Macaca mulatta: one gene and its partners. The protein of the gene in region 2 binds, or shares a complex with, the protein of the main gene of each other region. Links are inferred from orthologs where the notes say so. Each region holds a gene or a part of one and is shown on either strand. Other genes may lie near its edges. The genes, in order: SKP1, FBXL5 and IREB2.

The links.
Region 1: the proteins of FBXL5 (region 2) and SKP1 are in contact, whole or in part, in a cryo-EM structure (PDB 6VCD), measured with the Homo sapiens proteins. The link is inferred for Macaca mulatta from reciprocal best matches to the Homo sapiens genes FBXL5 and SKP1. Residues at the interface, in NP_036293.1 of Homo sapiens: Ile205, His207, Leu208, Pro209, Val212, Ser215, Ile216, Tyr219, Leu220, Gln223, Glu224, Cys226, Arg227, Cys228, Ser229, Gln230, Val231, Ser232, Met233, Trp235, Ser236, Lys240, Trp245, Arg315, Leu316, Gly319, Leu320, Asn323, Val324, Tyr327; in NP_733779.1 of Homo sapiens: Phe101, Ile104, Leu105, Asn108, Leu116, Asp117, Cys120, Lys121, Val123, Ala124, Ile127, Lys128, Gly129, Lys130, Pro132, Ile135, Arg136, Phe139, Ile141, Asp144, Phe145, Glu149, Val153, Arg154, Glu156, Asn157, Gln158, Trp159, Cys160.
Region 3: the proteins of FBXL5 (region 2) and IREB2 are in contact, whole or in part, in a cryo-EM structure (PDB 6VCD), measured with the Homo sapiens proteins. The link is inferred for Macaca mulatta from reciprocal best matches to the Homo sapiens genes FBXL5 and IREB2. Residues at the interface, in NP_036293.1 of Homo sapiens: Asp656, Glu657, Tyr661, Cys662, Asp663, Asn664, Ile665, His669, Ala670, Asp671, Thr672, Ala673, Ser674, Gly675, Cys676, Gln677, Asn678, Leu679, Gln680, Cys687, Arg688, Ser689, Gly690, Glu691; in NP_004127.2 of Homo sapiens: Asp89, Phe90, Ser129, Asn217, Val220, Glu221, Arg224, Arg228, Ala758, Gly759, Ser760, Arg763, Asn764, Thr777, Pro778, Arg779, Asn782, Ser783, Tyr784, Gly785, Ala786, Arg788.

Annotation. Positions count from the first base shown.
Region 1 is NC_133411.1:143,076,094-143,080,540, forward strand, and holds the start of SKP1 (S-phase kinase-associated protein 1), read right to left. Parts: upstream 2,830-4,447; 5' UTR 2,730-2,829; exon of another isoform or gene 2,561-2,729; intron 1-2,560. UniProt on the Homo sapiens protein: Essential component of the SCF (SKP1-CUL1-F-box protein) ubiquitin ligase complex, which mediates the ubiquitination of proteins involved in cell cycle progression, signal transduction and transcription.
Region 2 is NC_133410.1:14,669,506-14,673,153, reverse strand, and holds part of FBXL5 (F-box/LRR-repeat protein 5), read left to right. Parts: intron 1-1,637; coding exon 1,638-1,763; intron 1,764-3,648.
Region 3 is NC_133412.1:56,633,755-56,637,402, forward strand, and holds part of IREB2 (iron-responsive element-binding protein 2), read left to right. Parts: intron 1-1,661; coding exon 1,662-1,746; intron 1,747-2,110; coding exon 2,111-2,267; intron 2,268-2,579; coding exon 2,580-2,704; intron 2,705-3,648. UniProt on the Homo sapiens protein: RNA-binding protein that binds to iron-responsive elements (IRES), which are stem-loop structures found in the 5'-UTR of ferritin, and delta aminolevulinic acid synthase mRNAs, and in the 3'-UTR of transferrin receptor mRNA.

The DNA of each region.
Region 1 (4,447 bases), on a different chromosome or scaffold from region 2:
ATAAGACAGAAATTTTCCCCACAGTGAGACCTACCTGTGAAGATAAGTTCAGATCCAGAGAGTAAATGAGAATATGCTGATTTATGTCTGAGGCAATGCAAGACCATATACACAAGAATAAAATGATTTAAAGATAAGCAGATGTGAGTACAATTCCCTAAATCTAGTAAGAAGCTTCATTTCAGAGCGCTTTTTATCTTTCAGTACTGACTGTCCAACTGACCAACTTTGAGATCTCTTGTCAAGAGCTCCATAATAATAACCTATTACTTGCTCTGAAAATGCATTTATTAACTCAGAGTAATTATGAGTCACTAGGAAAAAGATAATCTTACATAAAAAGTTAGGCAATTAGGCCAGGCGTGGTGGCTCACGCCTATAATCCCAGCACTTTGGGAGGCCGAGGCAGGTGGATCACGAGGTCAGGAGATCGAGACCATCCTGGCTAACATGGTGAAACCCCGTCTCTACCAAAAATACAAAAAATTAGCCGGGCGTGGTGGCGGGCGCCTGTAGTCCCAGCTACTTGGGAGGCTGAGGCAGGAGAATGGCATGAACCCAGGAAGCAGAGCTTACAGTGAGCCGAGACCGCGCCGCTGTACTCCAGCCTGGGTGGCAGAGCAAGACTCCGTGTCAAAAAAAAAAGTTAAGCAATTAATTCCAAAGGACTTGAGTTCTGGCAAAAAAAAAAAAAAAGGAATTTAAAATTAAAAGTCCAACAATTTCTTACCATCTTCAAATTCTTTTTTTAAAAAAGAAAACATACATAAAAGAAAAACAACAACAAAAAGAGTAGCAATACCTGGTACAGATTAATTCAAGGCCTCTTAAAATTCACATACAACTTTTAAAAGGCCCATGCTTCTCAAGTATTCATAATCCAATGATGTCACTATTAACTTATGGTACCTCTGAAGTTTTCTAGGTGTGTTGTATTAAAAATCGCATATATTTTCACAAAAGTGTATCATTTGGCATTTAAAACATGCATCACACCCATTTTATGTTCAAAGACTTATGACCCATTACATCGGTTAAAATATTCATTCAGCTTCTCTGAGACAATTGTCCGCAACCCCAAAGCAAACAGGTTCTTAGGCAAAGGAAGCAAAAAAGTAAAGCGTGTTTTAAAACCAGCCACTGAAATATCCTACTCTCACTCATCCATGGTTGGAGAGAATCAGATTTCACTTTGCAATTCACAAACATGTCTGCTTCTCCATGTTGCTTAGCGCTTGCCAATAATGCCGTTGTCCCTGCTCAATGAAGAAGGACCCAGAGTAGAGGACCCTTCCTGTGACAAGACAACAATAAAAGGTATCTCCAAAAGAAAATATTTTAACGTGAGTCCAATTTTTAATTATAAAACATTTAAACATGTAATTTTTATATCAGATAGTACTGAAATGAACAGTGCAGAATCACAAGTCTAACAATGCAGTTGATAAAATTACTCTAAAAGCAAGACGACCGTTTCATATTTCTTTCAAATAACTCAAGTGCTTAGTCATAGTCAAATTCGTGGATTGGGTTACTCTTAAGGGAGTTGAGATCTTACTAAATAGCAGGTAGGTAATCGGTTAAATCTGTAATTCGATGCACTTGGTAATACTAAACTAAAAGATAAGTTTTAGTGTTACAGTAGAATAAAGTGCAAAATTTTTAAGTAATAATGGATGAAATTTTGATTTGAAATGTTTTCAAAACAATTCCATTCTAAAGAAAGAGGCCTAAAGGCTCCTGCACTTGTAAATAATTCTCCATGGCCAGCATAAAGTGGGTTCTATCACATCATAAAGGGAAAAAAACCCCTGCGTTTTAAGTGACCCGAAATTCTGCCACTGCTTTTTAGACTGCACAGTGGAGGAGACTATTGTTCTATGACACAGATACATTCTATTGTGACGCTCTAATGGAAAAATGCATGTTCCTAAAACCCAAACGTGAAGTTCCCACTAAAAGTGAACCAAAGCAGCTGGACATCCTATTTCTTTAAAAGCCAGACACTTCGAGTTAAGTTATACACAGCTCTTACAAGTCACACCACTCTGAAGATGGTATCTGCTATCACAATAGTTATTTCAACGACTCCAAGTCATAGCAAAACAACGCGAAGAAATATTTACAAGGAACAGGCGGCTATGTGCAGAAACTCGGCGCCCGCACACAGTTAGCCAGGACCGACGGGTAGCTAGTGACGCCAGACACGGGGGAGAAAGGATGGCAGCCAAGAACCGGGCGGCCTCAGACCACCACCGCAGCTCTCCCTCCCGACCACAACAAAAGCCAGACACCGACACACGCCCATGCTCACGACAGCCAAGGGACCCCCATTCACAACCCCGCCGCCACCCCCGCCCTAGTCCCCGGGACAGCAGGCTTAAGGCCAAGAGAGGCCCCCGGCCATAGCCTGGGCCTTGCAGCCGAGCCTGCGCCGGCTGACGCTCGGCCGGTGCAGAGAAAGCCCAGCCCGGGGTTCGGCTCACACTTATGGAGCGCTGTGAGGACGCGCGGCCAGAGCAGGCCTCGCTGAATCGGGGGCGGAGAGGGTGGACGAGACCTGATGGTGTCTCCCGAAGAACGGGGTCGACAACACGATCCACCGGGCCCGAAAGAAGGCCAGGCCCAGTCACCGCCCGCCGCGGGCAGGCCCAAACCGCAGCAGTGAGGCCAGCCTGCATGCAATCCGGGAGCCACGACCCTTTCCAGCTCAGTGGGCGGCTACTCACGGTGTTCGGTGTTAAGGAGACTGCCGGCGGGAGGCTGACGAGAGCTAGGAGACGTCAGCGGAGGAACAGAAAAGCGGAGGACGAAGCCACTACAGCCTCTCGGCGCGGCGCGGCGTCTGCTTTATAGGAGAGGGCGCAGGCGCCGAGGACCCCGGGGCGCGCGGCGTCACACAGCGGCTGGGCTGGCCGCCGAGATCGCCTGACGGCAGGCCGAAGACGGCGGGGCGGGCCCAGGCCGGGAGGCGACGAGGAGCTGCCGGGGCGGCTGGCCGGGGGGTTGGGGAACGGGAGAGCTTTCGCCTTTCCCTAGCTCTGAAAGCGCCGCGCTCTCTCATCAACTGGGTGCCGAACCCTGACTGGCCTAGAAAGGTCTTTCAGGCAGGGGCGCCCTAAGCCGAGTAAAATACCCCAGCTAAACGGCCTGGAAAAAACAAAACGGGGCGTGTGTGCGCCTATGTGTGTGTTCCTGGGAACAACAGAACGGGGCGCGCGCGCGTGTGTGTGTGTGTTCATTCCTGGGAGGGGCTGCGTGTGTGTGTACGCGCGTGTGTTCATTCCTGAGGTGTATGTGTGTGCGCGCGCGGGTGTGTGTGTGTTCATTCCTGGGGTGGGGATGGGGGGGCGCTTGTGTGTGTGTGTTTTACTACTGAACTGATACAGCTTGTCCAGCCTCCATTCTCCACAGTAACCCTCCGAGGTGAAATAGTGTTAGCCTTTTCGCCTCTGCAGTGAGGGAACAGGTTCGGAACGGTTAAGTGGCAGAGCCAGGATTTGAACATTACTCCACAGTTAGGTGCCGTTAGCCCTTATTTCCTACTATTGACTTCTAAAGAGGCTTCCGTGCCAAAAATAGCCATCGTCGTAGGGAAACCCCAAATCTAGAGAGATGGCTTCCATCTAGCAATAGGTACCCATTCCTTCACTAAACATGCTCTGAGCCCGACATGCGAGGCGTGGTGCTGGGGATTCGGCAGTGAACCAGGCAGCCAGGGCCCGGCCTGGACAGAACTCTTGTCTGGGGTGCTCCCAGGAAGGCTGTGATGAGGTCGATGGAATGAAGCCTGCAGTAAAGGAACGGGAGTAGTCTGAAAGCCCCACCCCGCTCTGCTCGGGAACGTTATTCTCCCTGTCCTAGGAGACTGGGCGCCGGGCTCGTCTAGCCAATAGGCACGTGATGGTATCCCTGACACAGGAAGACAAAAGATACTTCCACACAGGGCCCCCTGAAGAAACCGGAGACGTACAGTGCCTCTGGGATGGGACTGGGCAGGAATGCCAAGCAGCTTCTTGAGTTACCAGGTCTTTGTCTACAAGCTGTGGTATCCAGTGTCTGCCAGGTGCCACAGCTGATGACAGAAGATGAAACGCCTGCAGCTCTCAGATATTTTCTCAGCAGCACAGCCCTGCCCTCAGCAGCTCCAGCTTCAGGCCTCCTAGGCAGGGCCCACTGGAGCCCCTTTGCTCCCCTGCCTATGGTATGCAGGGTGATACCTTATAAACTCTCCTTGAGCATCCTAAGCAGGACTGTGCAGTGTCAGGTCATACAGCTAGCCTGGGGCCCCAGCACAGGGTCTGGCGTAAAAGTAGGTATATGCTTTTCCAAATATGTCTGAGAACCCCCTTTATTAGAATCACCAAGAAATGCCTACTTTTAAAAGAGATTTCGGGGCCGGGCATGGAGGCTCACACCTGTAATCTCAGCACTTTGGGAGGCCGAG
Region 2 (3,648 bases):
ACTACGTTAAAGTTCATGTGGAACCAAAAAAGAGCCTGCATTGCCAAGACAATCCTAAGCAAAAAGAACAAAGCTGGAGGCATCATGCTACCTGACTTCAAACTATACTACAAGGCTACAGTAACCAAAACAGCATGGTACTGGTACCAAAACAGAGATATAGACCAATGGAACAGAACAGAGGCCTCAGAAATGACACCACACATCTACAACCATCTGATCTTTGACAAACCTGAGAAAAACAAGAAATAGGGAAAGGATTCCCTATTTAATAAATGGTGCTGGGAAAACTGGCTAGCCATATGTAGAAAGCTGAAACTGGATCCCCCCTTCCTTACACCTTATGCAAAAATTAATTCAAGATGGATTAAAGATTTAGATGTTAGACCTAAAACCGTAAAAACCCTAGAAGAAAACCTAGGCAGTACCATTCAGGACATAGGCATGGGCAAGGACTTCATGTCTAAAACACCGAAAGCAATGGCAACAAAAGCCAAAATTGACAAATGGGATCTCATTAAACTAAAGAGCTTCTGCACAGCAAAAGAAACTACCATCAGAGTGAACAGGCAACCTACAGAATGGGAGAAAATTTTTGCCATCTACCCATCTGACAAAGGGCTAATATCCAGAATCTACAAAGAACTTAAACAAATGTACAAGAAAAAACCCCGTCAAAAAGTCGGCAAAGGATATGAACAGACAGTTCTCAAGAGAAGACATTTATGCAGCCAACAGACACATGAGAAAATGCTCATCATCACTGGTCATCAGAGAAATGCAAATCAAAACCACAAGGAGATACCATTTCACACCAGTTAGAATGGCAATCCTTAAAAAGTCAGGAAACAACAGATGCTGGAGAGGATGTGGAGAAATAGGAACGCTTTTACACTGTTGGTGGGAGTGTAAATTAGTTCAACCATTGTGGAAGACAGTATGGTGATTCCTCAAGGGTCTAGAACTAGAAATACCATTTGACCCAGCGATCCCATTACTGGGTATATACCCAAGGGATTATAAGTCATGCTACTATAAAGACACATGCACACATATGTTTATTGTGGCCCTATTCACAATAGCAAAGACTTGGAACCAATCCAAATGTCCGTCAGTGATATACTGAATTAATAAAATGTGGCACACATACACCATGGAATACTGTGCAGCCATAGAAAAGGATGAGTTCATATTCTTTGCAGGGACATGGATGAAGCTGGAAACCATCAGTCTTAGCAAACTATCACAAGGACAGGAAACCAAACGGTGCATGTTCTCACTCATAGGTGGGAATTGAACAAAGAGAACACTTGGACACAGGGCGGGGAACGTCACGCACTGGGTCCTGTCGGGGGGTGGGGGGCTGGGGGAGGGATAGCATTAAGAGAAATACGTAATGTAAATGATGAGTTGATGGGTGCAGCAAACTAGCATGGCACATATATACCTATGTAACAAACCTGCATGTTGTGCACATGTGCTGTAGAACTTAAAGTATTAAAAAAAAAAACTGCTTATTGCCTAGGGCTCAGATGTTGTCTCTATGTAGAGATTTTTATTGTAAATAGCTTAGTTTTCCATTATTGCAGGCAATCTGATATTATTTTGATCCTTTTACTTGTTTATTCATCGTGTAGGTGACTGGTATAGTGGTCCCGCAACTGAACTTGATACTGAACCTGATGAAGAATGGGTGAAAAATAGGAAAGATGAAAGTCGTGCTTTTCATGAGTGGGATGAAGATGCTGACATAGATGAATCTGGTAAGCTTGTTTGAAATTAAAATTATTACATAGTGTTTTAATAATTATATATTAAGTACTTATAATTAATAAGTACTAATAATTAGGTATTAGATTTATGTAGTTTGTATTTTCTAAAGAAACGTGTTTCTACGCCTACTACTTTTTAAAATTTGAAGGAATAATAATAACATTTTAAATTAATTGTTTGAAGTACTTTAAAGAGTGCATAGGATTATTTCTCTTGTTTTTATATTAAAATAAAAAACCAGAAAATGGTACCATTTTTTCTTATGGAAATAACGTATGTTTATTATAGTGCTTTATAGTTTACAATGTGATTTTAGCGCCACTTCAGATGATCAGTTGTACAGCATCTATTGAGTCATATGTGGCTTGAGGGAAATAGGATGAAACTGTTAAGTTGACTTACTCATTTGTAAATAGTCTTAATATTTGCCTAATGAGGTTATTGTAGAATTAAGAGGTAATATACATAAATATTCTTTGTAAATGGTAAGGGATTACAAAAACTAATGTAGCCATTCATTAAACACTGTGGGAGAGTTCAAGGGTGGATAAGACTTAATCGCCACTCCAAAGAATTCACAAACGAGAGAGAATTTAGAAAACATAATTTTTTTTTTTAAATTTATTTTTTATTATTATTATACTTTAAGTTCTAGGGTACATGTGCATAATGTACAGGTTTGTTACATATGTATACTTGTGCCAAGAAAACATAATTTTTACTTTAAGGTACATGTTGGAAAAATGCTGTCATACTTGTGCAGAGAGATGCTGTTTGAAAGTGTGAGGAGGACGACAAATTCTGTCTTGGATATTCTAGATAATACTTACTAAAAGATGGTAAAATAGTAAAAAATGAACAGATGAGACATTCTTCTAGTTGGTAAAACTGAAACTATAGGAACTTTTTATAAAGTTACCTGCTTAAAGTAGTTTGATCTGGCAAAAGAACTAAATGTGGAAAAAAGAAACATGGAAAGTAACAGTGCAAGTATAAAGATTGTTATATCAGCAGCTAAAGTAGTTTATTTTTATGAAAAGCAGATGCGCTACATTTTGATAAAAAGATTCAAAATGTCATATATAAGGAAAAGGTCTATTCTAGTTATGATAGATTTGGTGATGTGCTTACCTGTGGCAGGCATTGTTTTAGGTATGAAGGATCTAATGGTGAACAAAATGGAAAAAAAAAGAAAAAACTGGCCCTTGTTGAGCTTAAAATTTAGAGACAGGAGGCAGACGATAAATACAGGTAAAATATGTTCCGTATTAGATGGTGACAAGTGTTGTGGAGAAAAATAAAACAAGGAAAACATGCCAAGAAGAATTTAAAATTGTAGTTTTAAATTGAGTGATTAGTTAAAGTCCTTTGAGAAATTTGAGTAAAGACCTGAAGGAAATGAGGTATTTGCTTAGATGTCAACTTAAGGAAGTCTCAGTTTATTCATTCTGGAAAATTAATTCATAATACTTGTGGTAAGAATTTTGAAGGTTCTAACAAATTCAGTATATTTGTCTCAATACTTGAAGATGGAGCAAAGACTGTCAATTTCCTTGATACCGAAAAGGAAAAGTTAAGGGTATAAAGATTGAGCCTTTTTAGATAATGTATCTGTTGATTATTAAAGACTAAACTGCTATTTACTTCAGTGCTTTTTTCAGTTTAGCTGCCTTGTCTTTACTTGTCCTAAGAAGTTATTGTTTTTCATAGAATGTTTAACTTTCTTAAAAAAGATTTCACAGTTCCAATTACCTTGATTTGATCATCACACATTGTATACAGGTATCAAAGTATCACATGTACCCCCAAAATATGTATAATTATTGTATATCAATAAAAAATTAAAAATTTAAAAATTTCATAATAAATAGTGTA
Region 3 (3,648 bases), on a different chromosome or scaffold from region 2:
GCTCAGATACACAGAAGTAGGAGATGTGGTCTTAGCTTCAAGATACTTAGTTGGAAAGACAAGACAAACAAATATAACCAAATAACAGTTACAGTATAAGAAAAGATACCAAGTATGCACAATGTCTGTGAGTTGTGTAGGTCAGTTCAAAAAAGAAAGAAATCTTACAGTTTGCATTTATTAACTGAAAATTGTCATAATTTTAGTTTTATGAGGTTATTGGGTCTATAATACATAAGTTTAAGTTGTCCCTGAACTTTGGAGAAAGTAACTTACGATTTTTGGGCTGGGCGCGGTTGCTCACGCCTGTAATCCCAGCACTTTGGGAGGCCGAGGCAGGTGAATCACGAGGCCAGGAGTTTGAGACCAGCCTGGCCAATATGGTAAAGCTCCGTCTCTACTAAAAATACCAAAATTAGCCAGGCATGGTGATGCACACCTCTAGTCCCAGCTACTCAGGAGGCTGAGGCAGAAAAATTGCTTTAACCCGGGAAGCAGAGGTTGCAGTGAGCCGAGATCATGCCACTGTACTCCAGTCTGGGCAAGAGAGCGAGACTCCATCTCAAAAAAAAAAATTACATACGTTTTTTATGTAATCCAAAACAATTGATGCTAGTTGTGCAGGAATTGTTTGGTTTTGAGACAGTGTCTTGCTCTGTTGCCCACACTGGAGTGCAGTGGTGCAGTCACAGCTCATTGCAGCCTCGACCTCCTAGGCTCAAGCAGTCTTCCTACCTCACCCTCCTGAGTAGCTGGGACCACAGGTGTACACCACCACACCCAGCTAATTTTTATATTTTTAGTAGAAACAGTTTCGCCATGTTGGCCAGGCTTGACTCAACCTCGTTGCCTCAAGTGATCCGCTCATCTCAGATCGGATTACAGGCCTGAGCCACCACATCCAGCCTAGCTGTATTTTCAGTGTCTGTTTTGGAACATATGAGTCATCAGTTCCTTTGCAAAATGGATAAATTTTCGATTTTTTTGCTTTTAGAATAGCATCTGAAAGTAATTTAGAGGACGGTGCCTGTAATCTTTTAGTTGTATCATCTTGGATTTATTGTCAGGGACTCTTCTTGGGTTTAACTGGTTGATAATTAAGAGATTACTCCTATCAGAGTGCCCAGTTACAGTGCCTCTTTTGGGACCTTTGGTCAGGTTATTATAGCCAGGTCCTCTTTACATTTTAAACCCTTGGATGGAAGTACAGAATCAATTATTTTAAAAGGTCATGTTATATTCCTAGCAAGTAGTATTTGGGGGAATTATCTTGTGCATTGATAAGTGCTGTTAAGGCTCTTCAAAGATTTGCATTCAGCTTTGAGACCCGCCTGAGCATTTTTATTTTTTATTTTACAAAAAAAGTAGCTGGGCCTGGTGGCGAGCGCCTGTGGCCCCAGCTACTCAGGAGGCTGAGGAGCAGAATTGCTTGAGCCCAGGAGGTTAAGGCTGCAGTGAATTTGTTCAAATAGCATGCCTGAGAGTTAGACTTGATTGCTCAGAATGTTGTGAAGTGAATATATTGATGAAGGTTAATCCATGTGTCATGAATAGTCTTTTAAGTAATCTTATTACAGGGATAGAAATACAAGATAAGACTTATCTTTTCTCTATAAATATTGTGATGTGCTATTCAGTCACATTTATTTTTTGAAATGCAGATTTGAAATCGTTGGTTATGGATGTTCAACTTGTGTGGGAAATACAGCCCCCTTATCAGAAGCAGTTTTAAATGCGGTAAAACAGGTAAAATGTGTGGATCGGCAAGCCATCTAAATGGTTTTCTTAACTATGTTTTGTTATTAAATTATAGAAAATATATATTGATGTGTTTATATTTCTGTAAACTCTGCACCTCTTGGCAGTTGCAACCTGTGAATGTTTAAATGATTGAAAGACTCATTTGTAGATCCTTGAAATAATTCCTTCATAATATAAGGAATTGATTTAGTTTATTCGCAAGATGGATAGTTCTGTATTTAAAAGTTAGTAATATGTTTTTTGGTTAATCTCGCCCTCAGACTTTAAGATTGGTTATATATGATTATCCAAATTTGTACCATCTCTAGAATTGAATATGTATGTTTGTGTGTTTGTGTTTTTTTTCCAGGGTGATTTGGTTACCTGTGGAATTTTATCTGGAAACAAAAATTTTGAAGGTCGTCTTTGTGATTGTGTTCGTGCCAATTATCTTGCCTCTCCACCGTTAGTGGTAGCTTATGCCATAGCAGGCACAGTGAATATAGATTTCCAGACAGAACCTTTAGGTATCTTTTCCTTTATGTATATGTATACCTATACATATGTTTCCCCATAGAAGTCATTATATTTTTGAAATGTTTCTTAGACCATCTATTCTTTGAATTATTTCAGGAAAACTTATGATAATGTATAGTTATTAATTTCTGTGTTTATGTGAAGAAAATAAAATGTGCAGGTAATTAGTTCTTCCAGCCGCTTAAGCCTGAAGCACCCAGTTGAATCATTTACTTGATGTCCATAATATGTCTTTGAAAAGGTATGAACATTTTCAGAGAGTTATTTTTTTACTGAGTGTCATGTTCAAAAATTTTAACCAGGTACTGACTCCACCGGCAAGAACATTTACCTGCATGATATTTGGCCTAGTCGAGAAGAAGTTCATCGAGTAGAGGAAGAACATGTTATACTATCCATGTTTAAAGCATTAAAAGATAAAATAGAAGTAAGAGTCTTATGTGTTTCTTAAATAGTTTAATCAATTTGCAGTGTTCTTTTATTTCATATATCTTGTTTTCTGACTAGAATAAAAATTAAAATTACGTTATTTTGAATGCGGTTTTCAATGTGTAATAGTTTGTATCTGGAATCTATAATTAAAAAGCAAATGGCGGCTGGACACAGTGGCTCACGTCTGTAATCCCAGCACTTTGGGAGGCCAAGGCAGGTGGATCACCTGAGGTCAGGAGCTCAAGACCAGCCTGACCAACATGGAGAAACCCCATCTCCACTAAAAATACAAAAAAATTAGCCAGGTGTGGTGGCACATGCCTGTAATCCCAGCTATTCAGGAGGCTGAGGCAGGAGAATCGCTTGAACCCGGGAGGCAGAGGTTGCGGTGATCCGAAATCGTGCCATTGCACTACAACCTGGGCAACAAGAGCAAAGCTCCATCTCAAAAAAAAAAGGAAAGAAAATGTCTTAGAGTATCAGAATTGATTAGTGTTGATTGGATGATCCGTGCAGCAAACCATCGTGGCACACATTTACCTGTGTAACAAACCTGCATATCCTGCATATGTACCCCAGAAGTTAAAATAAAAGTTGAGGGGGAAAAGAAAGAATTGATTAGGTGTTCAGAATACATCAGTGAACAAAACCCAGAATTCTCCTGGGGAGAGGCAAATAAGCTGTAAAGAGAATAGTTATATAAATTATGCAATTTTAAAAAATTATTATTTATTTTTTGGTGTTTCTTGGGAGATGGCGCCCCACTCTGTCACCCAGGCTGGAGTGCAGTGGCCTGAACCAGCTCACTGCAGCCTTAACCTCCTGGACTCAAACAATCCTGCTCCTCAGCCTCCCGAGTAACTGGGGCCACAGGCGCTCAGGCCCAGCTAATTTTTTTATTTTTTGTAAAATAAAAAATAAAGATGCTCAGGCTGGTCT